Linked DNA regions of Struthio camelus. The protein of the gene in region 2 interacts with the protein of the main gene of each other region in a pairwise test. Links are inferred from orthologs where the notes say so. Each region holds a gene or a part of one and is shown on either strand. Other genes may lie near its edges. The genes, in order: GTF2B, DRAP1, NFYB and POLE3.

Evidence for each region.
Region 1: the proteins of DRAP1 (region 2) and GTF2B interact in binary tests that used the Homo sapiens proteins (3 or more experiments, as listed by UniProt). The two-hybrid records come from large-scale screens. The link is inferred for Struthio camelus from reciprocal best matches to the Homo sapiens genes DRAP1 and GTF2B.
Region 3: the proteins of DRAP1 (region 2) and NFYB interact in binary tests that used the Homo sapiens proteins (3 or more experiments, as listed by UniProt). The two-hybrid records come from large-scale screens. The link is inferred for Struthio camelus from reciprocal best matches to the Homo sapiens genes DRAP1 and NFYB.
Region 4: the proteins of DRAP1 (region 2) and POLE3 interact in binary tests that used the Homo sapiens proteins (3 or more experiments, as listed by UniProt). The two-hybrid records come from large-scale screens. The link is inferred for Struthio camelus from reciprocal best matches to the Homo sapiens genes DRAP1 and POLE3.

What each region holds. Positions count from the first base shown.
Region 1 is NC_090949.1:19,993,582-20,000,587, reverse strand, and holds the start of GTF2B (transcription initiation factor IIB), read right to left. Parts: upstream 3,008-7,006; 5' UTR 2,750-3,007; coding exon of another isoform or gene 2,720-2,749; intron 1,037-2,719; 5' UTR 902-1,036; coding exon 854-901; intron 531-853; coding exon 427-530; intron 1-426. Other genes in the region: KYAT3 (kynurenine--oxoglutarate transaminase 3), read right to left, coding at 3,772-3,834, 5,307-5,393, 5,835-5,908, 6,896-7,006. UniProt on the Homo sapiens protein: General transcription factor that plays a role in transcription initiation by RNA polymerase II (Pol II). Involved in the pre-initiation complex (PIC) formation and Pol II recruitment at promoter DNA.
Region 2 is NC_090976.1:890,969-898,565, forward strand, and holds the start of DRAP1 (dr1-associated corepressor), read right to left. Parts: upstream 3,015-7,597; 5' UTR 2,916-3,014; coding exon 2,874-2,915; intron 1,176-2,873; coding exon 1,103-1,175; intron 265-1,102; coding exon 171-264; intron 1-170. Other genes in the region: RELA (transcription factor p65), read right to left, coding at 4,493-5,103, 5,773-5,841. UniProt on the Homo sapiens protein: The association of the DR1/DRAP1 heterodimer with TBP results in a functional repression of both activated and basal transcription of class II genes.
Region 3 is NC_090942.1:62,634,727-62,642,591, reverse strand, and holds the start of NFYB (nuclear transcription factor Y subunit beta), read right to left. Parts: upstream 3,013-7,865; 5' UTR 2,854-3,012; intron 1-2,853. Other genes in the region: TXNRD1 (thioredoxin reductase 1, cytoplasmic), read left to right, coding at 3,153-3,234. UniProt on the Homo sapiens protein: Component of the sequence-specific heterotrimeric transcription factor (NF-Y) which specifically recognizes a 5'-CCAAT-3' box motif found in the promoters of its target genes.
Region 4 is NC_090961.1:12,219,788-12,227,341, forward strand, and holds the start of POLE3 (DNA polymerase epsilon subunit 3), read right to left. Parts: upstream 3,012-7,554; 5' UTR 2,818-3,011; exon of another isoform or gene 2,760-2,817; intron 2,662-2,759; 5' UTR 2,652-2,661; coding exon 2,586-2,651; intron 1,605-2,585; coding exon 1,519-1,604; intron 824-1,518; coding exon 705-823; intron 213-704; coding exon 52-212; 3' UTR 1-51. Other genes in the region: C20H9orf43 (uncharacterized protein C9orf43 homolog), read left to right, coding at 5,212-5,371, 6,521-6,680. UniProt on the Homo sapiens protein: Accessory component of the DNA polymerase epsilon complex. Participates in DNA repair and in chromosomal DNA replication.

The DNA.
Region 1 (7,006 bases), on a different chromosome or scaffold from region 2:
TTTTGGAATAAAAGGAAGCTGAACTATTAGAAGATGAAGCTTCTCTTTTTCCATTTGCAATGCCCTTTTTCACAAGGCTCAATAAAACCAAAAGATAAAATGCTAATAAAAAAAAATTGTTACTATCAATGTGAATACAGCTTGCTATATTAAGAAGTTTCCCTATAACCTCTGAAATGTGTGCGTAGCAGTATCTGCAACAGATGTGCCACATCAGCACTGTCAGTCCCATGAAGCTTTCCACGTTTGTCTTGGCTTCTCATATAATCTATTCTATAAAACAGATCATCTGCTGACAATCACTGTCAGCAGTCGGTCCCTTCCGACGCTGTTCTCATTAACTAGAAGTGAAAGGGTTTAATTTCCAGCACAGAAAGACAATCATTTTCAGCACTGTTGGAAAAAGTATGATAGATCATATCTCACCATTTCTTTATTCTCTGTCTGTAGCAATTTTTCCCAAGTTCTTTGTCCACAAGCAGCCAAAAAGTGGTTGATGTAGCAGATGGGAATACCACTATTAACCGTCTCTGTCAACAACACATCATTTTAATAACTTACAGAAAGTTCACCTTGCTGTGCCTAGCTGTACTTGTTCTTTCCCATCACTACAGTTACAACAATAACCCCACTTTAAAACTTATTTTTTAATTGCTCATTCTGGAGCTTTTTACAATTTCATCCAAAATATCTCATGCTGGCTACTGTCAGTGATAAATAGATAGTTCAATTGCAGTTCTCACATTATGAATATTACCAGCATCATTCCAACAATATAATGCAATGGGATATTCAGATGTCTTCATGAACACAATGAGGAGTACACTAATGAAAACAAGTCATCAATTCTTACTCGTATGTATAAAGATCCTTTGTAATGGTTTGTTGATTTAGCCAACATTCATTTTGTTAAAATAGCAGATGTCAGTCAAACGCCTCAAAGGAGCAAATGAAAGAAACAATAAATAGCCAAGGCAGCTGAATTATGCTTGGTATGTTAATTCATCTCTGTGCTGCATCTTATGTATTCAGACATCTGATGAAACAAAAGGATTAGCACACTACAGCAGCTGGACAAAATAGGCAAAAAGAAATCAAAGCTAAGTGAAGTCTAATACAGTGTGTCCCGTAACATCAGCAGGGCTCTGGAATTATACACTATGCAGAGCTATCTTTAAACCTGGGCCCCCTGTGTCTCCCCTGTCAGATTCAGTGCTTTAGCACGTGAGTTATTAGCATGCAAGAATGAGGTATTTAAAATGCTACTGTTACTGAATGTAACAATGGAAAAACAGGTATATTTTGCTATAATTTTTATAATTTCCTTGGCAACCTTGCCTATAGCTTTTCTTTCTTGCATATATTCATACAAAGACCGACTTTACACAGGGTGTCCCATTTGCCAATGACAGTAATGCAACAGTAACACAAGCCATGGTATTAACAGTAGTCAGTGTTGAAACAAGTCTTTAGGAAGCAATGATACTTCTTTACAAGGCAACAAAAACACTGTAGAGAGAGGTGAATGGAAGCAACTTTTATCACTTCACTGCTGTTGTGAGGACCCATAACACAATTACACATATGCTCACATGCTAACACGCTATCTCAGGGAAATCTTAAACTGCAGAAATAATAATTTTAAATAATAATTTTTAAAAATATTAAGTGGATTGTGCTTTGTAGCTGTTATCAAGGCAAGCATGGTACAACGATATTTAAAACTCCCTTTTGACATATAAAATGATGATGAAAATTATATGTTGAATTTTGTTGAAATTATATGTTGAATGTTGAATTGCATTGCAAGGCACTTGTTTCAAGGACAGGAAGCTAAATAACAAATATTTTATTATTTTGTACTATTTAAGAGGCTAAGTCATTAGGAAATTTTGATTCATATTATCATATCTGAACATATGTTAGCAAAGATTTTTTTATTTTATGAGAATTCACTTTGCAATGAAAGTGGCAGGTGCCTTAGTGTGACATTCTACTCCAAATGGCTTTTGGAATGGAATATTTGTGGAGTAATTTCCAAATAAACCAGTTGTTTTACATATCACCAACAGAAGCATTTCCCTTGCCCAGATTATCACTCAGCTCAACGAACTGACACAGTGTCCTCTAGTTCCTGCAACAGCACAACTCCCCGGTGCACTTTACACAAAGAGATTTTAAAGGTCGTGCAAAATACAGTGTAGATTTCACTGAATTTTACTGTTTTATAACAATAGTTCCTCCTGGAATTTATGGGAATTTATTTAAGAATTTCCCTATGACATTCCTGCTGGAATTTAAGTTAAGTCATTTTAATTACCAAATGGATATTTTACACAAAGACTACAAACCCCTGAAAAATACCAAGCAACCTTTTTCTGTTAAGGTTTGGGGGATGGCAGTGTATGACAGCTAAACAGACAACACAAGTCCCAGCTACTGGACTCCCAGAAGTCCAAGGGCAAGAAGAGGTACTGACATGTTTAGTCAGCAGAGGCGTAACAGCTGCTATCACAGTCCAGTTTCCATACAACTTTTTTTAGCCCCTGGCCACGATCACAGACTGATAGAACTCAATTAGACTCCAGCTATATGACTACAGAATGAGCAAGGCAGTTGCAAAACTAGGTATTGAATTTGTTCCAACTTTTCCCCAGAAGGCCTGTGGGAAGAATGAAAAAACACAGAATACAACATACATCCTTAAAAGGCGACCTACCTTGATTGCTTCTGCTAGTGGGAAACCCATCCAGAGATGAAAAGGTCACACAGCTCAAAGAGGAAGCAACTAGAAAGGATTTCTCCACATTGATCTCTTCTGAAACACTCCCTTATCCATCAAGCTTGAAATAGTCCTAGTTAGCTGAGCTCCATAGTACAGTATTTGGCCCATCTCCATGCTTCCCCAAGCATGAAAATAAGCACTGAAGTAAGTTTGGTGTGAAGTTACTAACGGTTGTTGTGAACATGCAAAAAGTGGAAAAGGAATTACAGGATTACGTATGTCACTGTACGTTTGATTGTGAAGGAGCCTCTAAGGCAAGGTGTTTTATTCTGCTTTGTAGATTCATCTATTTAATAAATATTATAGGTATTCTAGATGCCACTTTTAAAATTTTTTTGGGGGGGGGGGGGAACGAATGCCTTCAGAACAGTAAACTTGACTAATGTGGGAAAATAAAATACTAATTATGCAGCTCAGCACATTTAGAACTTGCCTATATATAAACACTGCGTTGATTTAACTCAATCACTTTATTTAACTGATACAATTCATGCATGGACAGAGTAGGTAGGTAGGTAGGTAGAAAGTCACTGCAATTATCTAATCTGAGGCACGTCTTAATTCTCCTCCACTGCTGGCTATTAGGTCTCACAAACCACAATGTTTTAAGTCTTACCCCTAGTTTCTATACGACTTCACACCAAAAACACCTCCCATTTTTTCCTTGTAAGTCTTAAAATACCTATATGATGTATTCATTTTACTCAGAGTACCAGAAATCTTTGTTTTTCAGTGAGAGAGGTGGAGCCTGTAGATTATTTTGGAAAAAGGTCAATCATTTTGAAAAGACCTCTGAAAATAAGCTCTGAATTGCATTACACGCATTGAGTAAATCATTGTTTTAACTCCTCAGCAGGTGGCAGCACAAAGTTATTTACAATGTCAAATTAATTCTGTACTAAGTAATTTGTTCTTAAATTTGCAAGAAAAAGTCCTAGTGTAAGATTATACCAGACAGAAGAGTTGATTAAAAAAAAAAAAAAAAATCAAGCTATCTTTTTATTCCAGTTCTTCAGGATGACTTCAGCTGCATCTAGTGTGCTGTCTTTCTGCAAAACAAGGAGTACTACTATTACTGTAAGTAAAGAGTTCTTGAAAACAGAGTAGCAGTCATAATTATAACATCTGAAATCAATATTTGGCAGTTTCGTTCGCATCATGTAAATATCCCAAACAGTCAGTTCTCCATTAACATTTATAGCTACAAATCTAGACAACACCAAGAATTCAATGTTAATACCCTGCAAATATTTTTCAGGTGTATTTGCTAAAAATAGAGCATATTTTTCTCAATATTTACATTATCAAATTTAATGAAAGTGGATACTTTTTACATAAATGCCTGGCATTTATGCATTAATGTTCTTGACCGCTCTATATTAGAAGCATGCTAGTCATAGTTTGCTAATCTTTACAATTAGGATTTTTAAATTTCCATGCAACCAAGCTATGCTGTGAACTACTTAAACATAATCCCTCTAAATATGGGTAATCCATCCACTGGCCAGTTCTGTGGCTTGGCTACAGCCGGTTAGTCACACGAGTAGCCTTTACCTTGGCACAATTAGCGTTCTTCATCCTGAGCAAGCCACGTTCACAACGAGCAAGTTTCATCCTGGTTGTTAGTGGCTCAGTTTATATCATAGTCTTTATACCTCATCTTAAGAACTAAGTAACACAAGCAGAAACTCCCTTTCATCAGTGGTTCAAGCTAAGGCTCTGATCTGTACATGGAACAGTTAAGGGGTTGGCATATGTGCCATTATGCCGATTCTATGACAGAACAGTAAGACTAAGATTTTAGGGAAGTATGTCTACCAAAGTTTATGTAGCTGCCTCCAACGTTTTTCAGTATTTTCAAAAACAGACCCAGCAAGTGGGTGTAACAGGAGGAAGAAGAATATGGGAAGAGGAGGTGCTCACAAAATTACAAGAGTCTGCCAGTTTACAATTTGTCAATTCTGCCTCCTTTAAAAAACACTGAAGATTCCTTTTTATGTCTTTGTTTTTCTTTGTGATTTGGAGCTCATTTAAAACTGTATGTACGTTCAGGTAAGTGAGCTAAACTTGAAGCTCACCTATTTAATGATTTGTTTTGTTGTTTGAAACTGACTGCACATGGTGTATCCCTGTCTGCCATAGAAAGGAATTATTCCTTACCATGGATTATAGAATTCATCTTAATAGATAGCATGAGATATCTGTGTCATCCACTCTCATTGTCACCACTGGCCAAGAATGTTTTAAAAATCAACAGAATAAGCTAAAAAAAAGCTTACCCACCCAGCTGTTTTCTTCGACCTGCCCTTCTTAACCATGCCACTCGCATTTAGGACTTAAAGCCCCTCAGCAAAAAGATAGCTGAAGCTACTTTGTGTTTAATTTTACATCAAGCTAACTTTCTGCTGCTAAAATCACAAAACTCAGGAGATCCTGTGAAAAAAATGTTATAAGTAGCCTGTTGCAGATTTTTATATTCATTGATTTTTATTTTTTGAATCTTCCTGGGACACAAGTTTACCTTAATGAAGCAAAAACGTATGTATTTTTCAAACTGCACTTTTGTCTGAGGACCACAGAATGCTGAAAGAGGAATTGCTGAAAGTTTCTGAAGCATAAAACGGAAATATTATTTATTATACACAGATGAAAAACCAGTTTCACACATGACGATTTTACTATCGAATTTCCTAGAACTCTCCCTCCCAACATTCAAGTGAAATACTAGGCTGGATCTTGCACGCAAAGCTACGCTTAACTAAGTTCAAATCACTTTTTTTAGGCAAAACAGTTCAAAGGTACTTGTCTACAACTAGCATTTAAGCGTGCAGAAAGAACAAAAGTTGAGACTTAACACAAACCTACAGAGTACATTTTCAGTACATTCAGCAATATTTTAGTCACATCATTTCCAGCAGTTAGCATAAATAACAAATAATATTTTGAACGTAGTATTTCTACTCCATTATTGCATAAGTACAGTTACACTTCTCTTGCTTCCAGTAGACAAGCATTTCTAAAACTTCAGAGTATGACAAAGACACCTTACCTTAGATGCTATCATCCATTTGACAAATTTATAATCATAAGGTTGATTCTCCTCCACATCAGAGAGATCTACATCTAAAAAAATTAAACAGAGAACAAACAAGATCTTGTAAGACTTCCTAGCCTCCAGTGGCAAGGCATTCACTAACAGCACTTCAGTTAATACTTAAGAATAAAGAGGTATGCTTTTATTATAAAATATAATTAAAAAAAGTTATAAAGATTAAACCAGGCCAACAGATGTACATCTTTCCACTCTGACCTGAGCACTCGCTTTCCATGCAAAGCAAAATCAGAGAAGTAGCTTGGGAGAGAACGATGCAATCCCCCAAGAAGTCATCAAGTCTGGATGACTAAGGGCCCTGGAGTCTGGAGAGTACTGAAGTGTGTCCTTTTTGCACAACATGGACAGCAATAATCACTGCTACTGCTGCAGTTCTCTTATCTGTAAAACTAGGGTATCTATAATTTTCCGACATCCTGGTAGGACTGTGAGGCTCAGCTTTGCTTAAACGTTTCTGTGTGAATGACAAGTGCCATTAAAACCAGTCAGTGAAAGATATCCAACAAAAATCCACAACCCTGATGGAATTCTTCCTCCAGAGGTAGCATAGCCTGAATTTCCAGAGAGATCTGTAAATGTTGGTGAGATTTGACAATGTTTAAAAATCAGAATGCGTTAAAGATAGCTCAGCATTTGACTGCAGCTTAAGGGGAGAAAAAAAAAAAAATAGAAAATGGGTACAAACGCAGGATATTAAGCCAGGTACTTGGCTCGCAAATGTTTCCATAATCAAAGACCTTTCAAAAATAGAAATGTTTTTACTGTTTCCTTTACTTTTCCTATTTGCACATCCCTGAAACCTTGCAAAAACTTTGCAAGGTTTTGCTGAAGCTTGTAAAATTTACCTCCAGGCTAAGGTCAAACAGAAAATTTCAGTCCCAATTAGTACTTCTGACAATGTTATGAGAAAATGAAATGAGAACATAGTTTAAAATGGGAGTTGCATTTTCATCTTAATATTTGTTTCCCATCCCCCATTTACTAAACCTTTTACTAACTTAATGTAGAAACATCAACAATCATAAAGTATCCTCCATCTGGAATGACAGGCTTCAGTCCAACTTCTCGAAGTAGCTGAGCCATCCGATCACGCTTGCCTTCCAGCTCTC
Region 2 (7,597 bases):
AGTGGGGCCCAGGCGTCCGGGGCGGGGGTCTCCCAGCTCCCCCCCCCACAGCGGGGCCCAGGCGTCCGGAGGGAGGTCTCCCAGCCCCCTCCCCCAGCAGGACCCAGGCGTCCGGGCGGGGGTCTCCCGCCCCCACCCCCCCGAGGGGCCCCGGCGTCCGGGGGGCTCACAGGTGCCCGGTGCTCATGGTCTTGGCGTTGCGGGCGCGGGTGACGCGGCAGGCCTGCCGCAGCAGCGACTCCAGGAAGAGCTCCAGCGCCCGCGCTGCCCCGCTAAGGACCCGGCCGGCCCGCGCCGCACCCCCCGCGGGGCACCCGGGACCCCCCGACCCCCCCGCACCCCCCGCGGGGCACCCGGGACCCCCCGCACCCCCCCTCACCCCACCGGGGGGCACCCGGGACCCCCCGCACCCCTCCTCATCCCCCTGGGGGTCACCCAGGACCCCCCGACCCCCCCCAAAGGCTCAGGACACCCCCCCAGGGGGCACCCAGGACCCCCTGACCCCCCCCGGACCTCCCTCACCCCCCCAGGGGGCACCGAGAACCCCCCAACCCCCCCCATGGGGCACCCAGGACCCCCCAACCCCCCCCCAGAGGCTCAGGACCCCCCTCACCCCCCCAGGGGGCACCGAGAACCCCCCAACCCCCCCCCATGGGGCACCCAGGACCCCCCAACACCCCCCCAGAGGCTCAGGACCCCCCTCACCCCCCCATGGGGCACCCAGGACCCCCCAACCCCCCCCCAGAGGCTCAGGACCCCCCTCACCCCCCCAGGGGGCACCCAGGACCCCCCAACCCCCCCCCCCAGAGACTCAGGACCCCCCTCACCCCCCCAGGGAGCACCTAGAACCCCCCAACCCCCCCTATGGGGCACCCAGGACCCCCTGACCCTCCCCCCCAAAGGCTCACGACACCCCTCACCCCCCCATGGGGCACCGAGAACCCCCCAAAACCCCCTCCATGGGGCACCCAGGACCCCACGACCCCCCCCCCAGGGCACCCAGCCCCTCCCCGTGGCACCCATCACCTCCCAGCAGAGGGGACCCAGGTGTCCGGGACCGCCCCCCCCCCCCACCGGGGGCCCAGGCGTCCGGGCAGGATACAGATGATGACGGGGACGGCGGCCGCCACCTTCCCGATCTCCTCGTCCGTCTGCATGATCTTCTTGATGCGTGCCTGCGGGCCGCACCCTCAGGCCCCGCCCCCGACCACCAGGCCCCGCCCCAAAACCCCCCAGGCCCCGCCCCCAAACCCCCCAGGCCCCGCCCCCAAACCCCCCAGGCCCCGCCCCCCCACCAGCCTTTTAAACCAGCCCCAGGGAAGGGAGCAAGGAAAGTGGCCTGGCCCCGCCCCTGCCGCCTGGCCCCGCCCCCAAGCCGCCTCGAGGCCCCGCCCCCTCAGTAGCCTTTCAAAGCAGCCGCGGGGGTGGAGCGAATGACCTGGCCCCGCCCCCGGCGAGCCCTCTCGGATGACCCCGAGGGCAGGCCACGCCCCCTTCCTCCGCGCCACGCCCCCTTCCTCCGCGCCACGCCCCCCTCCCTGCCCCTGAGGGCAGCCGGGATCCACAGACATAGGAAGCAGGTGACCCCCCCCCGGCGGTTGCCATGGAGACCCGGCAGCAGTGAAGGCCCGCCCCCTTCCAGCGGTTGCCATGGAGACTCGGCACCACCTCCCCCCCAGGCGGAAGCGAAGGTCCGGCCACGCCCCCCCCGCGGTTGCCAAGGAGACCCGCCCCCCTCCCCGGCGGAGTGAAGCCTCAGCCGCACCCCCCTTCGGTTGCCATGGAGACCCGGCGGCGAAGGCCTGGCCACGCCCCCCTTGGTTGCCACGGAGACCCGGCGGCTCCGCCCGGCGGCAGTGAAGGCCTGGCCACGCCCCCATCGGTTGCCACGGAGACCCGGCGGCTCCGCCCAGCAGCAGTGAAGGCCTGGCCACGCCCCCATCGGTAGCCATGGAGACCTAGCGCGCCCCCCCCCCCCGCGGCAGTGAATGCCCAGCCACGCCACCATCCGTTGCCATGGAGACCTGCCCCCCCCAGCAGCAGTGAAGGCCCGGCCACGCCCCCCTTGGTTGCCACGGAGACCCGGCGGCTCCACCCGGCGGCAGTGAAGGCCTAGCCACGCCCCCATCGGTTGCCATGAAGACCCGCCCCCCCCGCGGCAGTGAAGGCCTGGCCACGCCCCCCCCGGTTGCCACGGAGACCCGGCGGCTCCGCCCCGCGGCACTGAAAGCCCGGCCACGCCCCCTCATCGGTTGCCACGGAGACCCGGCGCCCCCCACTCCCCGGCAGCGGTGAAGGCCCGGTCACGCCCCCTCATCGGTTGCCATGGACACCCGGCGGGCCCCCCCCACCCCGGCGGCAGTGAAGGCCCGGCCACGCCTCCCCATCCGTTGTCAGGGAGACCCGCCCCCCCCGGCGGCAGTGAAGGCCCGGCCACGCCCCCCATCGGTTTCCATGGAGACCCGCCGCCCCCCCTCCCCCGGCGGCAGTGAAGGCCCGGCCACGCCTCCCCATCCGTTGTCAGGGAGACACCCCCCCCCCCGGCAGCAGTGAAGGCCCGGCCACGCCTCCATCGGTTTCCATGGAGACCCGCCCCCCCCCGGCGGCAGTGAAGGCCCGACCACGCCCCCCATCGGTTTCCATGGAGACCCACCGCCCCCCCCGGCGGCAGTGAAGGCCCGGCCACGCCCCCCATCGGTTGCCATGGAGACCCACCGCCCCCCCCCCCGGCGGCAGTGAAGGCCCGGCCACGCCCCCCATCGGTTTCCATGGAGACCCGCCCCCCCCGGCGGCAGTGAAGGCCCGGCCACGCCCCCCATCGGTTGCCATGGAGACCCCCCCCCGGCGGCAGTGAAGGCCCGGCCGCCCCTCACCGGCGGGAACCGCGCGTTATACTTCTTCTTCTTGCTCGGCATCGCCCCGGCGGCTCCCGCTCCCCGGCGCTGCCGCTGCCTCCGCTGCGGCCTCGACCCCCTCACTTCCGCCCCGCGGCCCCGCCCCTTCCGCCCCGCGGCCCCGCCCCTTCCGCCCCGCGCCACCGCCCGCCCCCTCCTCCCGCTGTCAATCAACCCCCTCCGCCCCGCCCCCTCCGCCCCTCCCAGCCGCTTCCGGCTTTCCTGCCGCCGCCGCTTCCGGGTTCCCCCCCGCCCCCGCCCCCACCCGGAAGGGACCCAGGCGTCCGGGCGGGCGCGTTTGAGCGTTTTATTGAGGAAGGTTCAAACTGGCTCTACAAAAAAAAAAAAACGGGTTGGGGGGGGGGGAGGGCGCGCGGACGCCCCGGTTAAGGCACTGCGGTGGGGGGGGAGGAGCCGCCTCCCATTGGCTGGCTGGCCCCGGAGGGGGTGGAGCCAAAGCGGGGGTGGGGGAGAGAGGTGGGATGGGAGGGGGGTGTTCCTCCCCCTCCCCCGGGACCCCAATGGTTCAGCCCTTCCTCCTCAATAAGGCCCCAACGGGCTGATCTGCCCTCCCCCCCATAACACCCCAATGGTACAGCCCACCCCCCCATATGGACCGTAATGGTACAGCCCACCCCCCATATGGACCCTAATGGTACAGCCCATTCCCCCCCATAGAGGCCCCATTGGTTCAGTCTATCCCCCCCATATGGACCCTAATGGTACAGCCCATTCCCCCCCATAGAGGCCCCATTGGTTCAGTCCATCCCCCCCATGTGGACCCTACTAGTACAGCCCCTGGCCCCCCCCCCATAGAAACCCCAATGGTTCAGTCCACCCCCTATACAGACCCCAGTGGGCTGATCCACCCCCCCATAAGACCCTAATGGTTCAGTCCATAGGGACCCCAGAGGTTCAGTCCACCCCCCCCCCATAAAGACCCCAATGGGTTGATCCGTCCCCCCATATGGACCCAATGGTACAGCCCACCTCCCCCCATAGGGACCCCAATGGGCTGATCCACCCCGTAAGATTATTGGCTCGGCCCACCCCCTCCCCCCCCATGAGCCCCCAATGGTTCAGCCCACTCCCCCTCCACCCCATAGCACCCCAATGGGCCGGTCCACTTTGGGGGGGGGATCAGCCCATGGCCCCTGTGCGGCTCCCAGTGTCCCCAGTAGCTCCCAGTAGCCTCCTAGCGCCACCCAGGGGCTCCCCGTTGCCTCTACAGGGGCTCCCAGTAGCCTCCCAGTGCTCCCCAGTCGCTCCCAGCGCCCCCACAAGTCGCCCCCAGTGCTCCCCAGTGGCCCCCAACTCACTCCCAGTGCTCCCCAGTGGCTCCCAGCGCCCCCCCAGTCGCTCCCAGTGCTCCCCAGTGGCTCCCAGCGCCCCCTCAGTCGCTCCCAGTTCCCCCCAGTCGCTCCCAGTGCCCCCCCAAGTCGCTCCCAGAGCCCCCCAGTCGCTCCCAGTGCCCCCCCAAGTCGCTCCCAGTGCCCCCCAAGTCACTCCCAGCGCCCCCCCAGTCGCTCCCAGTGGCCCCTAGTGCTCCCCAAGTCTCTCCCAGTGCCCCCCAGTGGCTCCCAGTCGCCCGGCGGCCCCTAGGAAGAGGGGAACTGGCTGAGGAAGGCGGTGAAGTCGAGGTCGCCCAGGGAGGGCAGGGGCTCGTCGGGGGGCGCCGGCGGGCTGCCGGGGGGCCGGGGGGGTTCGGCGGGGTCGGCGAGGGGGGGGCGCTGACCCTGCACCAGGCGGGCGATAGCCTCGGGGTAAGCCAGCAGCGTGGGGGGCGCCTCGAAACCGCCGGCGCCGGGGGGCGCCCCGAAACCGCCGCCAAAGTCGGGGCCCGGCGGGGGAGGCGGGGGGTCGGCGGGGGCCGCCAGCAGGCGCTGGAAGTCGGCGGCGTTGATGGTGTCGAGGGCCGGGAAGGGGCCGTCGGCCAGCAGCGCCCCCAAATCCAGGGGCGAGGGGGGCAGGTCGAGGGCGGGGGGGGGGCCGCCGCCGCCGCCGCCACCGCCCCCCCCGCCGTCCTCGAACTGCAGCTGCAGCAGCGCCTCCGACAGGTGCTCGGCCTCCGGCGCCCCCAAAAGCGCCCCTTTCCCCCCCAAAACGGCCGGGCCGCCCGCCGCCGTCACCGTCGCCGGGGCCGGGGGGACCCCGAAAGCGAAAGCCGGGGCCACGGGGGGCGCCGCCGGGGCCGGCGGGGGCAGCAGAGCTGGGGGGGGGGGGCAGCAATGACACCCCCCCCAACACCCCCCCAAAATTTGCCCCTGCTCCTGGTTGCCCCCCCCCCGGTTTACCCCCCCCCGCGATTTACTCCTCCCAGACCCCCCACTTTGACCCCCCCAGACCCCCAATTTGCTCTCTAGACCGCCCTTTGCCCTACCAGACCCCCCAATTTACCCCCCAGACCCCCAATTTACCCCCCAGACCCCCCTTTTCCTCCCAGACCCCCACTTTGCCCCCCTAGACCCCCCAATTTGCCCCCAGACCCCCCTTTTCCTCCCAGACCCCCCACTTTGACCCCCCCAGACCCCCAATTTGCTCTCTAGACCGCCCTTTGCCCTACCAGACCCCCCACTTTGACCCCCCCAGACCCCCCAATTTGCCCCCAGACCCCCCTTTTCCTCCCAGACCCCCCACTTTGACCCCCCAGACCCCCCAACTTACCCCCCCAGACCACCCAATTTGCCCCCAGACCCCCCTTTCCTCCTAGACCCCCACTTTGCCCTCCCAGACCCCTCAATTTACCCCCCAAGACCCCTCTTTGCCCCTAGACCCAATTTGCCCCCAGACCCCCCTTTTCCTCCCCCAGCCCCCTGTTTGCCCCCCCAGACCCCCAATTTCCCCCCCCAGCCCCCCTGTTTGCCCCCCGCAGGCTCACCGAGGCCGGGCCGGGGCCGGGTGGGCACCGCCATGCGCCGGGGGGGCCGCGGCTCGGAGGGCGCCGGGCCTGGGGGGGGGGCAACGACGTCGGCACCCCCGCATCCCCCCCGGACCCCAAATACCCCTCCGGGGACCCCACATCCCCCCCCAGGACCCCAAATATCCCCCTGGGGACCCCGCATCCCCCCACATCCCCCCCCCAGACCCCAAATACCCCCCTGGGGACCCCGCATCCCCCCACATCCCCCCCCAGAGACCCCGCATCCCCCCACATCCCTCCCCTGGACCCCAAATATCCCCCCCAGGGACCCCGCATCCCCCCACATCCCCCCCCCCGGGACCCCAAATACCCCCCTGGGGACCCCGCATCCCCCCACATCCCCCCCAGACCCCAAATACCCCCCTGGGGACCCCGCATCCCCCCACATCCCCCCCCGGGACCCCAAATACCCCCCTGGGGACCCCGCATCCCCCCACATCCCCCCCCCCGGGACCCCAAATACCCCCCTGGGGACCCCGCATCCCCCCACATCCCCCCCCGGGACCCCAAATACCCCCCTGGGGACCCCGCATCCCCCCACATCCCCCCTCCAGACCCCAAATACCCCCCTGGGGACCCCGCATCCCCCCACATCCCCCCCCCGGGACCCCAAATACCCCCCGGGGACCCCGCATCCCCCCACATCCCCCCCCGGGACCCCAAATACCCCCCTGGGGACCCCGCATCCCCCCACATCCCCCCCCAGACCCCAAATACCCCCCTGGGGACCCCGCATCCCCCCACATCCCCCCCCGGGACCCCAAATACCCCCCTGGGGACCCCGCATCCCCCCACATCCCCCCTCCAGACCCCAAATACCCCTCCGGGGACCCTGCATCCCCCCACATCCCCCCTCCAGACCCCAAATACCCCCCTGGGGACCCTGCATCCCCCCACATCCCCCCTCCAGACCCCAAATACCCCCCTGGGGACCCCGCATCCCCCCACATCCCCCCCCGGGACCCCAAATACCCCCCTGGGGACCCCGCATCCCCCACATCCCCCCCCAGACCCCAAATACCCCCCTGGGGACCCCGCATCCCCCCACATCCCCCCCCGGGACCCCAAATACCCCCCTGGGGACCCCGCATCCCCCCACATCCCCCCTCCAGACCCCAAATACCCCTCCGGGGACCCTGCATCCCCCCACATCCCCCCTCCAGACCCCAAATACCCCCCTGGGGACCCTGCATCCCCCCACATCCCCCCTCCAGACCCCAAATACCCCCCTGGGGACCCCGCATCCCCCCACATCCCCCCCCGGGACCCCAAATACCCCCCTGGGGACCCCGCATCCCCCCACATTCCCCCTCCAGACCCCAAATACCCCTCCAGGGACCCCGCATCCCCCCACATCCCCCCCTGGACCTCAAATACCCCCCTGGGGACCCCACATCCCCCCACATCCCCCCCCAGACCCCAAATACCCTCCCAGGGACTCCGCATCCCCCCCCGGGACCCCAAATACCCCCCTGGGGACCCCGCCTCCCCCCACATCCCCCCCCAGACCCCAAATACCCCCCTGGGGACCCCGCATCCCCCCACATCCCCCCCCCAGACCCCAAATACCCCCCTGGGGACCCCGCCTCCCCCCACATCCTCCCCCAGACCCCAAATACCCCCCCGGGGACCCCGCATCCCCCCCCCCCGGGACCCCAAATACCCCCCTGGGGACCCAACTTCCCCCCAGGGACCCCACATACCCCCCCTCGGGACCCCAAATCCCCCAATAGCCCCCCGGGGACCCCAGGGACCCCCCCGGGACCCCAAATACCCCCCTGGG
Region 3 (7,865 bases), on a different chromosome or scaffold from region 2:
GTACCAAGGAGATATTACAGGATCCAGGGTGTCCTTGAACTTTTATAATCCTGAAGACTGCTCTCCTTTGTGTGTTCTTGCTATTGGAAAAGGACATCATGCCGATTATTTATGCGTAGGCTAGCAGTGGGACTCAAAACGTGCTAGGCATTTTCCAAGCACAGTGGAAGATAAAAGTCCCTCCTCCCAAAGAATCTAAAAAGAGAGAGATGGGCAAAGAAGGAGGAAAAAGGATTTAACATATAACCAAGGCTATAACCAAAGCATCAAGAAATCATTGCAGTAGTAACTGGAATATACTGCATTTTGCTTCCATCTTCCTCCTTCCACTTCTCATTCTTCTTCTTGTCACATTCCCCTTACATTTCAATGGCCCAACATTGGACCTCACGTATGGGTGCAGTTCAGTCAGCTAAGAATAAATTATAAGATAAACAGATGTATTTGGCTTTACATAAGCCCCGTACAAAGTTTAATTTCTAGGAGAAATTTAAAGAAAAAGAGGGTAGATACTTTTTCGCTCTGCTTAGAAAAAAAAAAAGATTTAACATGGGCAACATTGTAGGAGAAACGAAAGACGTCTATGGAGAAGCAAACTAACAGAGTAAAGAAGTAGATCTGAGCGAAGAATAGATGACAGGGCAAAATAGTAACTGTAGATCAGCAAAAACGAAAGTTTTATAGAACCTTGGGGTTGATCATAACTTGTGATTCAGGAGAGAGTAGGAAGCCTGAGGAAAGACTAAAAAAGGAGTTATCTTTTAAGATGGCAAAATCAGGAATGGTCTGATCCAAATAATAGTTAAGGAACACAAAAGCTCCCAGGCTGTACTTCAAATGGTCCGAAGATGATCTTAGTGAGGAGGTTGTAATAAATAAGGTAAGAGGTAAGACGGGCCAGTAGAACTGTAGGAAGAAGAAATGGATTTAGAAGAGTGGGGTGAGGAAGGCGAAAACTACATACTAGTCTTCGGGTGCAGCATCAAGATTTTGTTCTATAGTGACAGAGCCTTTGAATTACTATACTTAAAATTTGCAAATGATTTTGGATAATTCTGATTTTTGGATTCACTTGTTTGGGCACTCAGACTTGATAACATCTTAACTGTTGGACTTTTTGGGGGACAATTTTTTTCTATTGCTTCAATGGAACTTCACCACAACAACACGAGATCTTTTTTCTTTTCCTAATGGGAGGAAACGTGATTAGAACATAACTGCAAAACAAAAAGCTAAACCAGACATTGCAAACAGTATCAAGGACAGCAGCGGTACTGCAAGCTGTTTTTTAAACTTGTTTTTTCAAACTGTCTGAGTTGCCAGCTGATGGTCCCCATTTGATGCAAATATGGAGATGGGGTTTGGTTCCTTCTCTCAGCTTGTGCTGAGAATGATTTTAATAACTTTAATTCTGAAGCTATAATAATCCCTGAACACCTGTAACAATTATTAGCTTCATTATCATCATAATTCTTGCTATTACAGATTATCTATAATATCTATATTGAAAATATCATTTCTAAAATCTCAGTGATCATTCCCATGGCAAGTTCAGAGACTTTTTTCCATTTCTAATCTTAAATTAAATAATCATTCTTTGTGCTAGAAACTTCAGCTGGCACTGGAGAGATCACTGCAGAGTGGAATCGTAGCACAGCATCAAAAATGTGAGTTGCTTAAGTCCTCTGTGAAAAAAAAATCAAGGACTGGGTGGCAATGCCTCTTACACTCAAAGACCCAGTTATTATCCTGTTTTCTTTCTTCCCTTTCACACATTATTGCTATTATGGCAAAGCGCTGAGAGCTTAAGTGGTTTGGGGTCCTCTACTACAAGCATTAGTCAGATAATCACAACTCTGAGGGGGCTATAAGCTAAATCTCTGCAATATTTACATTTCACATCGAGGGACACTTAGAGGGCATGAGTAGCTCGCTTGCTCAGGGCACCTTGCAGTCATGTTACAAATTGGACTAAGAGCTCCTGAGTCGGAGTCTGTAGCAGGCATTTTGTTGTAGTGCTTTAGCATTAGGTGTTGTTCCCTTCCACGGACAGCATCCTCCTTAGTCAGTCAGGATACAGCCCAGTAGTCAATCTGTGCAACTGAAAAGAAGATTCGTCCACCAGAACATTAAGAGCTGGTTTGGCATCTTTTCTAAACCTTTCAAACAAACACCAACATTTGCCGTAAGCAAGAATACTGATTAGATAAGTTGCCTTATTTGGTAACTAGTCACACGCTTCCACATGAAAAGACAAGAAAGTTCAGAATTTCAGCTGACAGTAACAGCAGGTATTTGTGTGCTGCTTGTTGATGGTTTATAGGGTTGTAGGCTCTTGTTTTACCCTTCTTCTTTGTTTATGCCAGAAATTCTTCAGGGCAGGCACTTCTCTTGCCACTTATTTTGTATGATAGCGGCCACAATGGGCCCCTAACCGAGGCAGTGCTGTACGAAAATCATTACAAATAATATCCAGAGCCCAGAAGGGAGCAATGCGATAAGCCTAATTAGGCTTTCTGCACGAGGTAGTGAATCTTTCAGTTAGAGCGTCTCCTCCCTTATACGATTTCTAAGTGGGAACCGTTCACTGCGAGGTAAACATTTCTAAAACGCCTTTTGGCTGCTCTTTTCCCTCGCCAGCGTCCCTGCCGCCGCCACAGTCGCGTTGGCTGTATGGACGGTCCCTTGACCTCAGCCAGGCCGAGCTGCGGCTCAGCGCCAGCAGCCCCGCACGGCATCACGCCGGGGGAAAAAACAACAGCAACAACAACAAACAACAACAAAAACAAACAAAAACCACCCAAAACAAAAAAAACACACAAGAAAACAGACTGATTTCGGGCAGTATTTTACCGTTAGGCGACTCTTGGCGCAACAGCTGGCCCCTGGCAGACATCTCCCCGGGCGCCGACCTGCCTCACGTAAGATGGAAGGGGGGGGGCGCGCCCCCCCACCCCTCCTCACCCGACTTCCCCTCCCCGCCGCGACCGTTACAGCGAGACGCCGCCTCGCGCCGCCCGGCCGCGCCCCAACGGCCGCGCCCCAACGGCCACCGTTGAGCGCGGCCCCGCGCCCGCCGCCGCTGCGGGGGGAGTGGAGGGGGTGCTGAGAGCCGCCAGGGGGCGCCGCCCGGGGCTGCGCCGCGCCGCGCAATGGGGAGCGCCCTGCAGAAGAGCAAAGCGGTGCGGCAGGCGCCCGGCGGCCGCCCGGAGCGGCGGTGGCGGCGCCCAACAGGTAGGCAAACCCGCCCGCCCGCCCGCCGGCGCAAAGAGAGCGAGGGTCTGTGCCGCGGCTGCTGCCCGGGCCGCCGAAACGGCTCGGAGTTGGGGGGGGGGGAGCGGAACAGCCCTCTCCCCCGTGGAGGTGATTTCTGCCCGGCTGAGAGGCTGTCGCGACAGCGGTGGGGAATCTGTCTTTCACCTGGCCGTTTTGTACCCGTTCAGAGTCACGGCGGGCGCTCTTGGGATGTGGGGTTTAACTGTTGCTCTGGCTGGCTCCCTAAGGACCTGGCGATACGGAGAAGTGACGAGCGTGAGTGAGGTAACGAAGGGCCGCAGACGTAACTGGGCGTGCGCCCCTGCCCTAATGAAAAAGCGCTTTTAGCACATAGTATTTCACTGGGCGCCTACTGCTGAAAGAACGCTTTCAACTCTGCCTATTTGAAGATTATGGACAATTTCTAACGCTTGGGAAAGGGGTACGTGTGTTCATAGGTGTTTTTAATATACATAGTAGAGAATTCCCGAAACTAAAACACCTTGGCCGTTTTAAGATAGTATGTAACATTTTACAGGTGTAGTATGTAGAAGGAAATTGTCACAGTGTCTTCGCAAACAAAGAATAAAGATGCCTGTGTAGTAAGAGTTTGCATAAGACAGGAGCACAGCAGTGGATGGCAAATACAAAAAATGAGGCTCCCGCCAGTTAGAGCTCATGAAATACACTTATTGTTGTGGCTGCATATTGCTTAGTACCTTTTTCTAGCTGTGTAAGCACAAAATCCCACAATCTGAGTTAAGGGCATGGCATTGGAAGCACTGCATATCCTTTTACCCTAACTGTGGAAGACTTAAAAGAAAAAAGAGAAAGAAAAGCCTATCAAACTGCCCAAGCATACACTCTCAAGAGAGTCCAGTTGCCCGCGTACTTGAAGGGTAAGGCAGCTCCCTCGGACCAACTAGGGAATGTTCCCTTACCTAATGTTGCCAACTACTAGGTTACTATTAAGAGTAGTAACCTAATCAGTAGTACCTGATTTAGCTTTAAGTCAGATACTGAAAGCAACGTAGGTGCGGTAGCGTGGAGTTTGGGGCAGGATAAACGGCAGTGTAGTTACCCAGTGCAGTACCCAAACCTGTAGTTCCCTCTGATGACAGTGTACCCACTGACAAACTCAGAAGTGAAGCCAGCATCTTAATGAGCTTTTTCAGCCTTGGGAAGCTGACTCACTGAGGGTAACGTGACTTCAAAGGACATGTTGTTTGGGCTTCAGTCTACATGATCTGCTACATCTTGATTTCTCAATTTAAGACACTACTACTCCCTGCTGCTTATTCGAAAACCCTGGCAGTGTCTTAGTTTAAACCTCCACTAAAGCTGGTTTAAACTATGATGCCAAGCCTTATATTGCGGCATCTAGGCAGCTTCACTCCTGGAATGGTCATGTACAAGTGGATTAATATCTCAAACCTGGCATCTGTTTCTTAAAGGAACAAGTCAATTTTTCTTATGTCCTTCAAGAACAAGAGATGAGAGGAGTTGTGGGTGGTGTTGGAAGAGGTCAAACAGAACATTAACAGCAAATAATTGTAGGAATGCAAATAGAGATACATAATTTGTTTGAAAACTGAAACAGAATTCAAATAAGCTAATTACTCATTGTTTAGCTGACTCTAAAACACGGACAATCTTAAATTAATCCCTTTCTATAGCTAATCATAGCGGTGAGCAGTTTTTCTACTTTTATCTCACATGCATCCCTCAGACAAGGCGTATTTAAACTTCTCTGTGTTCTTTTACTAGGAGGAGGAAGAAATTGGGTGGTTCATGGCTTTCAGAATTTCTCAGTTCCTTTTTGGATCTATTCCCGCCCTTCCATCTTTTTTTCAATGGGAATAATAAATTTTATTACAAAGTCATAATTATTAATTCACTTAAAGAGCCAAAAGGATGTCTAATAAAGCAAACACTGGCAGTGAGCAAAACCAGCAAGGAAAATGATGGCTAGCACAGGAAAAAATTACTGATTTTTAAGATATAATGCTTATATATATTCTGTATACCACAACTATTGAAGACATTTTACCTTAGTTTGTACTTTTATAAAGGTTCTCTTACAATCTTCAAATAGTATTTGGTTTACTTCACCAAAAATATTGTGAATATGCAGTATTTATGACGCGTTTTGTAGGTGTAAAGGTATGAAAATTGGAAACAGCTCAAAGATGATCGTTTTCCTGAATTTTATTAATGTATCTCTGCATTATTTTAGTTTTCTGTATTGATACACATGCATTTTATTGTGAAAAAAAGGACTCATGAAAAGAAGTCAGGGCTACACAGTAAGTGTAAACATCTTAGAATTAAGGTTGCCTGAGTTGCAGCTCTTGCCATATAAAACGTATTGTTTGTTCTGCAGCGCTCTATCCTGGTATCACCTCCAGTGCCCCTTTTTTTCCCCAGATCCTCATGCTAGACGAATTTTATGAGCTGCTGTGTTTCCATTTGACTTTGATGTGAGTTAAGGTTGCTCATCTCTGTTTGGGACTGGGCACTCAGGACCTGGCGCATACCGATGGACCTAGAAAGTTCTAATAGACTTGGAATGAGATGTGGGTTGGAGTCTACAAAACGAATTAACCAAATATTTTTAAAGTCATTACTGTTGGGTTTTTTTGGTGCTAATGTGAGAATCCAGCGTAACTATAATGGGGGATCCAGTTTGGTGGTCCTGGTTCTGTGCTGAAGTACTACCATTGGTGGTGACCAAGTTGTATTGACATTTTCGTGTGGTGAAAGTGTGCGTTATGAGGCCTTACATGCTTTTATTTATTTTGTAGTATTTCCTGCAAATGTTTTGCCCATGTAATTTGCATGTGAATGGCTCAGGTATAACGATAACAAATGTGTCATAGCACTCTGTAGCATAGAGCAGACTTGACCCTCCTGGAGGTGGAGTCATGGTTGCCCACCTTGTTTTTTCTTCTGCCCTTGTTTACAGTTATGCCATCCCCTTGACTTTGGCCATGAATAGGGGCAGTGCTTATCCCCCACAACGTACAGTACTGCCCCTTCCCCCCTTTTTTTTCTGCAGTCCGGTGTAACAGTTGCTCTATATTCAAGGCTTCTTTGGAGATACTGGGATGATTTTCCTCATTCTGAATGCATGTATCGTGTCTTTGAATACTTACTGTATGTTCCATTTCTGCGTTATCAGCAATTGTTAACCATGATACTCCTCTTGGTGTCACAGTGTATATCTTCCTCACAGAGCCATCCTTTAACTTATCAAGCAATGTCTGACACTCTCTGTCTTTTTGCTGATCCTCAACTTAGTTTTACCTTGTGTTTTTTCTTCTAAGAAGCTCACAGCTGTTGCTTTCTTTAGCATGTTGTCCTCCTATATGAATTACCTATGCCTTGTACCATTGATAACGTGGTCAGTCTCGTTTTTGGTAAGCCGACGGAACTGTGTGTCTCCCTGTGAGGGAGCTGCGTGTGCCCGTAGTCAGGTGGTTTGTCTCACCAGAAGTCATTGGCCCCCATTAATGTTGGCTGTCACAATGCTGTCTGACCCAGCACTTTCATTTGCCTGCTATCTTTACTTCCTCCCTTTGCATTCATATCTCCCACTGTTAGAATCATAAAATAGTATCACAGATAAGATTTTCGTGTCTCTTGTGATGCCACATGTCCGTTTCTTCCGTTGATGCTACTACTTTGAGCTAGAAAATAGTATTAGCTTATTCTAGTCTAGTACTAAACTGTTCTTTAAGAACCTGCTCCGGCTTTCAGAAGCGAACTGAGGCATCTTCCATAATCTTCTGCTGTAGCAAACTCACCAGTTTTACTTGTTCGCTCACATACTCGGAGAGGAAAGCATGATTTTGCGCTGTCACCTCTTGTGTATTCTGGCAGTGCGTTCCCAGTATGACAGTAAGGAAGCTCTTAACTTCCTTAACTCCCGCACTGTTTGCACAACCTTACACAAAGCAAACAGATTTCTGTATTTCTGGCTCACAAAAGTGTAATGCATTTACTGTTTCCTGCCCATCTTTTACAATCGTTTCCAGTTAGGCCTTTGTCAGGATCCGTATGCATCAGTTTGGTTTGTTGTATTAGTTATGCGGCAAGGAAGTTCTGAGGGTCATGATCTGTTAGGTTACCCTACTTCCCTCAGCTCATAGAAACGCAGTGTCATTGTTTGCTGGGTTGCTGCGAAGAGGATTAAATTGTTCCACCCCAGTCCTTTTGTTTTCCAAGGCCAATAAACTTTGATTACTCTGGATTAAAATCAGTGCTTTTTTCCCCCTCTTTAAAAAGCCCTGCTTGAAAAAATCAGAAGCTTCCAAGCCAAGCACCCAGCTACCTTTCACATGCGGTGCCTGCCTTAAAGTTTTTGCAGATTCCAGGAGATCACTTGCAAAAAGCTTGTTTTATTTTAACCGTGTTCACTTTTAATACTGATTTGTTTGGCAAAAACCTGATTTTGTGCGAGAGACTTTCCTGTGTTTTTTGATGTTCTATGTGCCTAAAACGAAACCCTCGTTGCAAAGAGATGCGTGGGAATGAATAAGTGGCTTTAATTGTGGCAGAGACAATAAAGGCATGGCCAGCGGCAGTAGGGACTAACAAATGGCACAGTA
Region 4 (7,554 bases), on a different chromosome or scaffold from region 2:
TTATATCCCTACGAACAGAGCCCAACTCCCGCACACGTCTCATCAGAAAGCTTAGTTGTCCACCTCTTCCTCCTCATTTTGCTCTTCTTCCTCCATTCTTTCGTCGTCGTCATCATTCTCTTCCTCTCGGCTCTTATCTTGCTCTTCTGAGTCTGCCTTCTTGTCTTTATCTTTTCTTGCTTCTTTCTTTCCTTTCTGTTCACGTCTGTAAACTAAAAAAAAAAAAAAAAACACTGAAAATTTGCAGGCTATCCACTGTATGAATAGTAGAGCAGCTGAAGTCCAATGCCCACTTGCTCTCCAGGGTTACAACAGGAGCAGTGAATTCAGAGCAGCAACTCACCCTATTATTTGAGCTGTGCTGAGCAGCTCCATAGGAAATCAGGTTAAGTGCTGTTCAGCAGAAATATGCTGAAAAGGACGCAGGAGTTCCCATTTACAGGCAGCACCTAAGACTTTCCTTAGACAAACATAATAGGGGAATGATATCAGATGAGACTTTCCCAATCCTCATCAGTTGTGAAATAATGTTATCCCAGTCCTGTTAAGGTGCACATTATTTATTCCCCAGGCAAACTGCAGTGTAGGATGCTGGGCAAAGAAAAGAGAAACAAGACAGGGAAATAAGCGTTGCTTGTCGAACCTTCTAGGAAAGTAGGACTTGGTGCTACTTAGACTCCCTTGACATGAACTGAGACCAGTACCTTCCAGTGATTCTTTTAAAGGGGCTACAAATCGCTGAAACTCCATTTCCTCCATGGCAGAGAGAACATCACCAGCATTCAGTGTTTTCCTCTTCCCTTTCATTGCAAAGTTATTTGCACTAGTCAAAAACAAGGAGAACAGAGATAATAACTATCAATTTATTCTTGCTTCTTAAGGTCACAAACAACTTCCCCCCCTCCGCCCCCAAAAGTGATCTCCTAAACATTCAGTTGTTCTTACCACATACTATAGCTGATTTACTGTAATAAAGATATTTTCTTGTTTACATTGACTGTTCATGTTTCCATAATCTGGGTGAGTACTTAAAACCAGAGCAGTGACTGTCTGCACAGCATATTCTGAGCATATACACATGGCCATATACCCAGCCACCCAAAAGAGGTTACTGTATCCTCTGGGATCAGCTCCAAGGCAGCCTATGGTTGTCTCAGGCTTAGTCCTAACGCAGCTACGTGGAGAGCCTGGAAAGTGAGCAAAGGTCTTTCGCATTTGCCTGGAAATACCATACAGCCATGCTCCAAGGCCAGAGGACAGTGTGGGGGCCGCTCTTATTCCTCACGGGGTAGGAAGACACCTTCGTCTACAGAGTCATATCTGTCTTCCCTCAGTTTGTACAGGACAGTCCAAATCTGACTGCTGCAATCTGATGGACTGGGCTAGGCTGAAGATTGTTTTATTCATATAAACAGTCAACACTTCACTAGCGCATTGAAAAAATCATTTCCAGGAGAGCCAACAGAGAGGCTAGTTATAAATCAACTGCACTGGTGATCTGATCCAACCACTTCTTACCATGATGTTGCATAGAGCACAAACACACTTGCCGCTCGAGATATTGCGCTCCGAGCTTCTTTAGAAATATTTACTCCATCAGGAAGCTGAAAAGCAAATTCGAGTTTTATCAGTAGCTGCTATAAATGGCTCAAGACTGCATAATTCACGTGTCAGCTCAGCTAAAGCTTTCAGAGAGCTCAGCATGACTGCAAACGTGGAAAGATTTATTTATCTCAGATGTTATTACAGAAAGTTTGATAGTAGCTGAAAGTTAACGATGATCTAAGCTACATAAAAGGAAAGTAAATTCTGCATCAGCAGTGGGTCTGGCCATCATCTCAGTGGCGATTCATCTGATCACTATCAAATTCTTGATGCAGAACAATCATCCAGCAATATCCAAACTCATGCATTGACGCCTCATAGCTTAAGATCATCATATCATTAACTTAATAACTAAGACTTACTCTAGGCTTCTACACAGAAAAGAAATTGCACTTGAGCCCTCATCTGTTTCTGCTCTGATTTTGTTCTGGGAGCTGGTTTAGGAAGACAGGGTTCTCACTGCCCCATCGCTCCTGCCTCTACCGTAGGATTTCAGAGTCTGGATCGTTACTCCTGACACCTGGAAAACTGGGCTGGGGGCCGATCTTTTCCTCACAGGTTTCCTCACAGGTGCACAACACGCGTGACGGCACGGGAGGCTGCGCCCACCGCTCTCCCCGGACAAGCTGTTCCCGGCACCCGGGCACGTTTGGGGAATTCGAGAGGGCAGCAAAGACGTGGAATAAAGAAACTGCCGCGGGGGGCTGCTCCGGAGGAGTCTGTCTGCTGGCACCCACCCACCCCCGTCCCTCGCTCGCCGGGGCCGCCGACGGCCGACTGCCCCGCCGCCGGACCGCCGAGGGGACGCGGCCCGGGAACCGGCGCTGCCCTCGCCCTGGGGCGGCGGAACGCGGGCCCCGAGCTCCGCGGTGAGCGGAGGCCCCCCGGCTCGCCAGGAAGCGCCCCGAGGCCGGGGCCCCGCTGCCGAGCCCTGCCGCCTCCCCGGCCCGGCCCGGCCCGGCCCGCGCCGCCGCGCCCACCGCCTCCTTGATGATGCGGGTGATGACGGCGTTGGGCAGGTTCAGGTCCTCGGGTCTCTCCGCCATCCTGCGCCACCTGCAAGGCAAACGGGAGCGTCACTCGCCGGGGCCGCCCGGTGCCGGGGGAGGGCGGGGGGGGAGGTGCGGCCCGGCCCGGCCCGGCGCCCGCGGTACCTCGCCGCGTGCCGGCGGCCGCCGCACCGAACCGCGCGCCCAGCCGCTGCCCTCTCACCTCTGACCCCTCCCAGCGTGCAGCGCGCCCCTTCCCGGCCTGCCCCGCGGCCGCCGCCGCGCGCCCCGAGCGCGGCCGTTGGCCGGTAGGCAGCGCCCGCCCGGTAACGAGGAGACGGGCTGCCGCCGCCGGCGGCGACTCAGGCCCGGGGGCGCGGGAGCCTGGCGGCACCGGCGGGCACGGGCACGCGGCGCGCGGCGTAGGGGGGCGGGGCCAAGGGGGGGCGGAGAGGGGGTGCGTCCAGGGGGCGGGGCTCGAGGGGCCCGGGGCGGGCCCGGGCGTGGTGGGCGGGGCCCGGGCTGCCGTGGGCGGGGCTAAGGAGGCAGGGCGGGGCGCCTGCGGGGTGGGGATGGCGGGAGTGAGAGCGGGGCAGGAGGAGTTGGAGGGCGGTGGGTGATGGGGGCAGTTCATGGGGCTCCAGGGTGGGGGGACAGGGGCAGTTTGTGGGAGCCTGAGGTGAGGGAGCAGGGCCGGGGGCAGGTCGTGGGACTCGGGGGCTGCGGACAGGGGCAGTTTGTGGGAGCTCAGGGCAGGGAGCAGGGCCTGGGGCAGGTCGTGGGAGCCTGGGGGGTTGGTGAGGGATCAGGCGCAGGGGGGCGAGAGCCTGGGGGGAGCCCGTGAGGCAGGTGCCCGGCCCGCCCACCGGTTTCCGGCCTCGTGAGGGCACGCCTTGGGCTGCATGGCATCCGCGCGGGGGCCTCCTCGCCCGGCCGTGGCTCGCCCTGGGGGCCTTCGCCTCGCCAGCCCTGGCGGCGAGCCTGGGGCGCGCGCTTGAGCGCTGCGCTGGCGCGGGGATGTGGCTGCGGCGCGGGGCCTCGTGGGCAGCCTGGGCCTTGGGGCGCCAGGCCGTGCCGAGCGTGCCTTCGGCGAAGGTGTCGCTTCCCCGCGGACCCCGGCCCCCGACGCGTAACGCCGCGCCTCAATTTCTCTTCAGTTGATTTCATCAGGTTTTATCGCTTTTGATAGCCTGACAAGGTAATTGAAGTAAACTCAGAGTGTTAGAAGGCAGTGGATTAATCTGGTGTGGTGTCAGAGGTCATTTTTGAAATTGGGAGTGTTAATGGTCAATGCATCTTTTCTCCATGCAAAGTGTACGTTTTCCAACAGTAGCTTGTGGATGTTTACGTGACCAATTTATATGTAAAGATTGGAGCTTATTTTACACCTGATGGTATTCTGGGAATAGTACGCAACATCTTCGGTGTAGAAAGGTCAGACCTGAAGAAAGGCTTGTTTGCCTGAGGACGTGATTACGTTTCCAGTTGTACTGGTTGGATTAATAAAAGCTATCACCTGTATGTACAAATCATGTCTCTTGAATCTCATTTTTAGCACCTTTTAATGTATTCTACTGTTAACTGTATGGATGCTTTATGGCACGCAGAGACAAGATGCTGTAGCAGGTGTTGGATTAGTTTCTAATGAAAGTAATGAGAGACTGTAACTGGTCCGTTTGTAAGTGTAATAGATGGTGCTAATACAGACTTCTGAGTTGGCTGGCTGCTCGCTGTTGTTAGAAGAGTCATTAGAAGCCATTGTGGCTTGTTTTGTTTTTTATTTCGCCAGAGGCGAGGTTGTCTTTTGTACACACCTTTTCTAATTTGAGAAGAAAGCAAGACACAGTTATGTTGTTTTCTGGTGAGGGGGGTGGACTGGCGTAGAAACAGAAATGGTGCTGGCCCAAGGCCAGACAGAGGTACAGCCCAAAGCTGCTGCTCTCATGAACCTCTTCTAGATGCTTCTCATCATGAAGAGGCGTATATCTTTCTGACATGATGGACTCTCTTCTTTCTTGGATGCTTTGGTCACCAGTGAAATAACTGAGATAAAAAGGTGTGCTTGTTTTTAACTACAACGTCTAGAGGGTCGACGCTGTATCTATTAAAGTAATAATTAACCTGCGTTTTCTTTGAGGCATGTAATGGTGATATTGTCTCCCGCTTTTTTGCTTTTCCGCACTGGCTAGCATAGCCAAACCACTGCTCTTATGTCACTGTAGATATTCCAAAGCCACAAGGAGAAATTATTGTACCAGTGTAAAATGTGACTTGTAACAGTGAAGTTTACTACTGCAGGTCACATTTTACATGTTACATGCTTTGCATGTTACAGCTAGATGAGACTAGAAAGGAACTATGATATCAAAGCTCTGGAGTGACAGGGTACAATGGCAGGTTGTCAGCTTGTCATGACCTAGGATGGATGTGCCTGAGGGCAGCCTGTGATTTGATCCCCACCCTGCAATGTGGTTATTTTTAACGTTATACTGTATATGTATTCAGGTTTGTTTTCTTCTGCTAAATTAATATGCACTAATTTTCTGTTTTGCAGAGTATTTAAATCGATGATACCATCTTACCACTCTCCCTTCATACTGGAGCGGTTGCAAAAAGGATGACTGCAGATGTAAGCCAGTGGGACGAAACTATTTGTGATAAGGTTATTTGTCAGCATCCACAATGCTGGGATACACTAAGGAGGATTGAAGAGGGACATCCTCGGATCCGTTTAAGAAATTCTGATTCAATTTCTAGAACGTTTTTGGAAAGCAAAGGTAAAGTTTTGGTTAAATTATTATCTTCACAGAAGAAGGGAAAAGAGCATTCTTGCATTTGAGATAACTAACTTGAAATCCTAGTGAAGTCAAGGAAATTTTCAGTTTTCACATGAGGTAGCTAGTGAAGTTGAAGACTGTTCACAGATTTTTGGATTTTTAAAGCTGGAAGCAAACATTAGATTGCCTAGTCCGACCTGTATAATGTATTCATGCCCTTCAGGATTTATCTCAATAGCTTGTTCAAATAAAGCATCTCTTCCCTAAGGTAACTAACCTTGATTAGCTGATATCAAGAAAGCCAGAGTTACTTTCCTTGGCAGCTTGTTTCAATGGTTTCTTGTTAAATTTAGGTACTCAGTCTTCAACATGCATTTTTCCTTAAGTATATGTCCATAAGCTAGTAGCAGGTTTCATTCCAATTCCACCCTAGGTCCTCTAACACGCTTCAGGAAAGTCTTTGTAAATGAGGTTTGCATATCAGCTGCTTGGAGCTCCCTGTGTACACTCTTTGATCACTACTTCCTAGTGTTTGCCTGTGGGTCTGATCTCCTGTTTACCCAAGTGATTCATCAGTGTTTGACAAAACTTGCTGTCATCTTCTTAAGGGGGTTTCTGCTGCCTACCAGCAAGAATGGGGTCGCTATGGACAGATAATTAAGAAGAAAGAGTTGTTATACTTATGTTACTGTAATTCCTCGAGATACACTGTACAGAGCAGTCTGACAAAGTGCCCTTCTCTTCTGTAGCTTCACAGAGTCCTTTAATGGAGACTCTGAGCAGCAAAGGAGGTGACTGGTGGTTGATACTGCACTAACCTTCTTGCCCTTAGAATGGCGGGTTGAGGCTCTGCAGGGCTCATGCACGGCTCAGAAAATGCTGTGGTGTAGAAGGTGGTGATTTCTTGCATTTTTGGCACTTTGGGCCCTAGGAGTATGATCTGCACGTAGAGAACTTCTCCAAGAATCACGGTTGCTATAAGGTGAATTATTGTTTCCTTAGCTAGAAATTCTGGCTACTATAAATGGGGCTAATACACCAATGGAGCTGTTGTGTCTTCAGTGGCAGTAAACAGTTATTAAACACTGCACGCAGTTTTTACTTATCAGATCCTTGATGTTCACCTTGCATTTGCTTTACTTTTCTTAGATGAATTTCCAACGCTGAAAATAGTAAATATCCCCCCCAGCAAGTCTTTGAGAAGATGCGTCCAATGTTCCAAGTGTCACAGAACTTTCTCCATCTCTGCTGCACCCTCTCTTCTAAATTCTGTGCTTCAAGAGAGTTCGGAGGAAGATAGTGCTGTCAGGTGAATGGCTCTGAACATCCATCTGTGAGTTTTAAGCCTGCAGTAAGGGCAGGCATGAAGGTGATAGCTTGTTTTTTTGTTTTTTTTTTTTGTTTTTGGGTTTTTTTTGTTTTTTGGGGTTTTTTTGTGTTTTTTTCCTCAAAGAGCTCACAGAAACATTAGGTTCAGCTGTAGTGGACACAGCTTACAAAATGTTGTTTGTACTGTGTAGAATACACTGTTAGCAGTAATGGTTGAGTCTTGCTTAAGTTTATTTCCTTGAAAACGATGCTTCTGTATCATTAAGACCAAATAAATAAAAAATTTGAAGTACAGATTATTTCTGTATAGTAGTCACTGTGGAGTGCATATATAGTCTCTGTTGGTACTGAAGCCCTATTAAGATCGGTGCAATAAAATTCTTGAAGAAACACAAGTCCTAATTAAATGTGTATGCCCATATGGTGGTATAGAATCGGCAAATGGTTGAGTATGTTCATAACCCCTGTAGGCTGGTGAGTCAATTCACACCTCTTTCCCCTCATTAGTACTAACTGGATCCACCCTAAACTGCTGTGGAGCTATTCACAGAGTAAGTTATCACAGAGCATGAGTCAGAGGGGACAGTAAAGTGCTCAAGGCCAGAGTTAAGTGTGTGTCCCATTAGCTCCATGTCTGTAACAAAACAGGAAGGGACCAGCTGCTCTGGAAGCTGAACACACAGCTCGGATCCGAGTGGCTTCCATGGCATGGGATGTTGTTACAGTACTTACTTTTACTAGTTTAAATTTGTCATAGACTGGCCCTTGCTGGTCTGCATTCTTTTCTTTTTCATTATAGAATAAGAATTTTAAACTCTCGACGGTATCCTGTTTTTAAAGAAAACGAGCTTTAT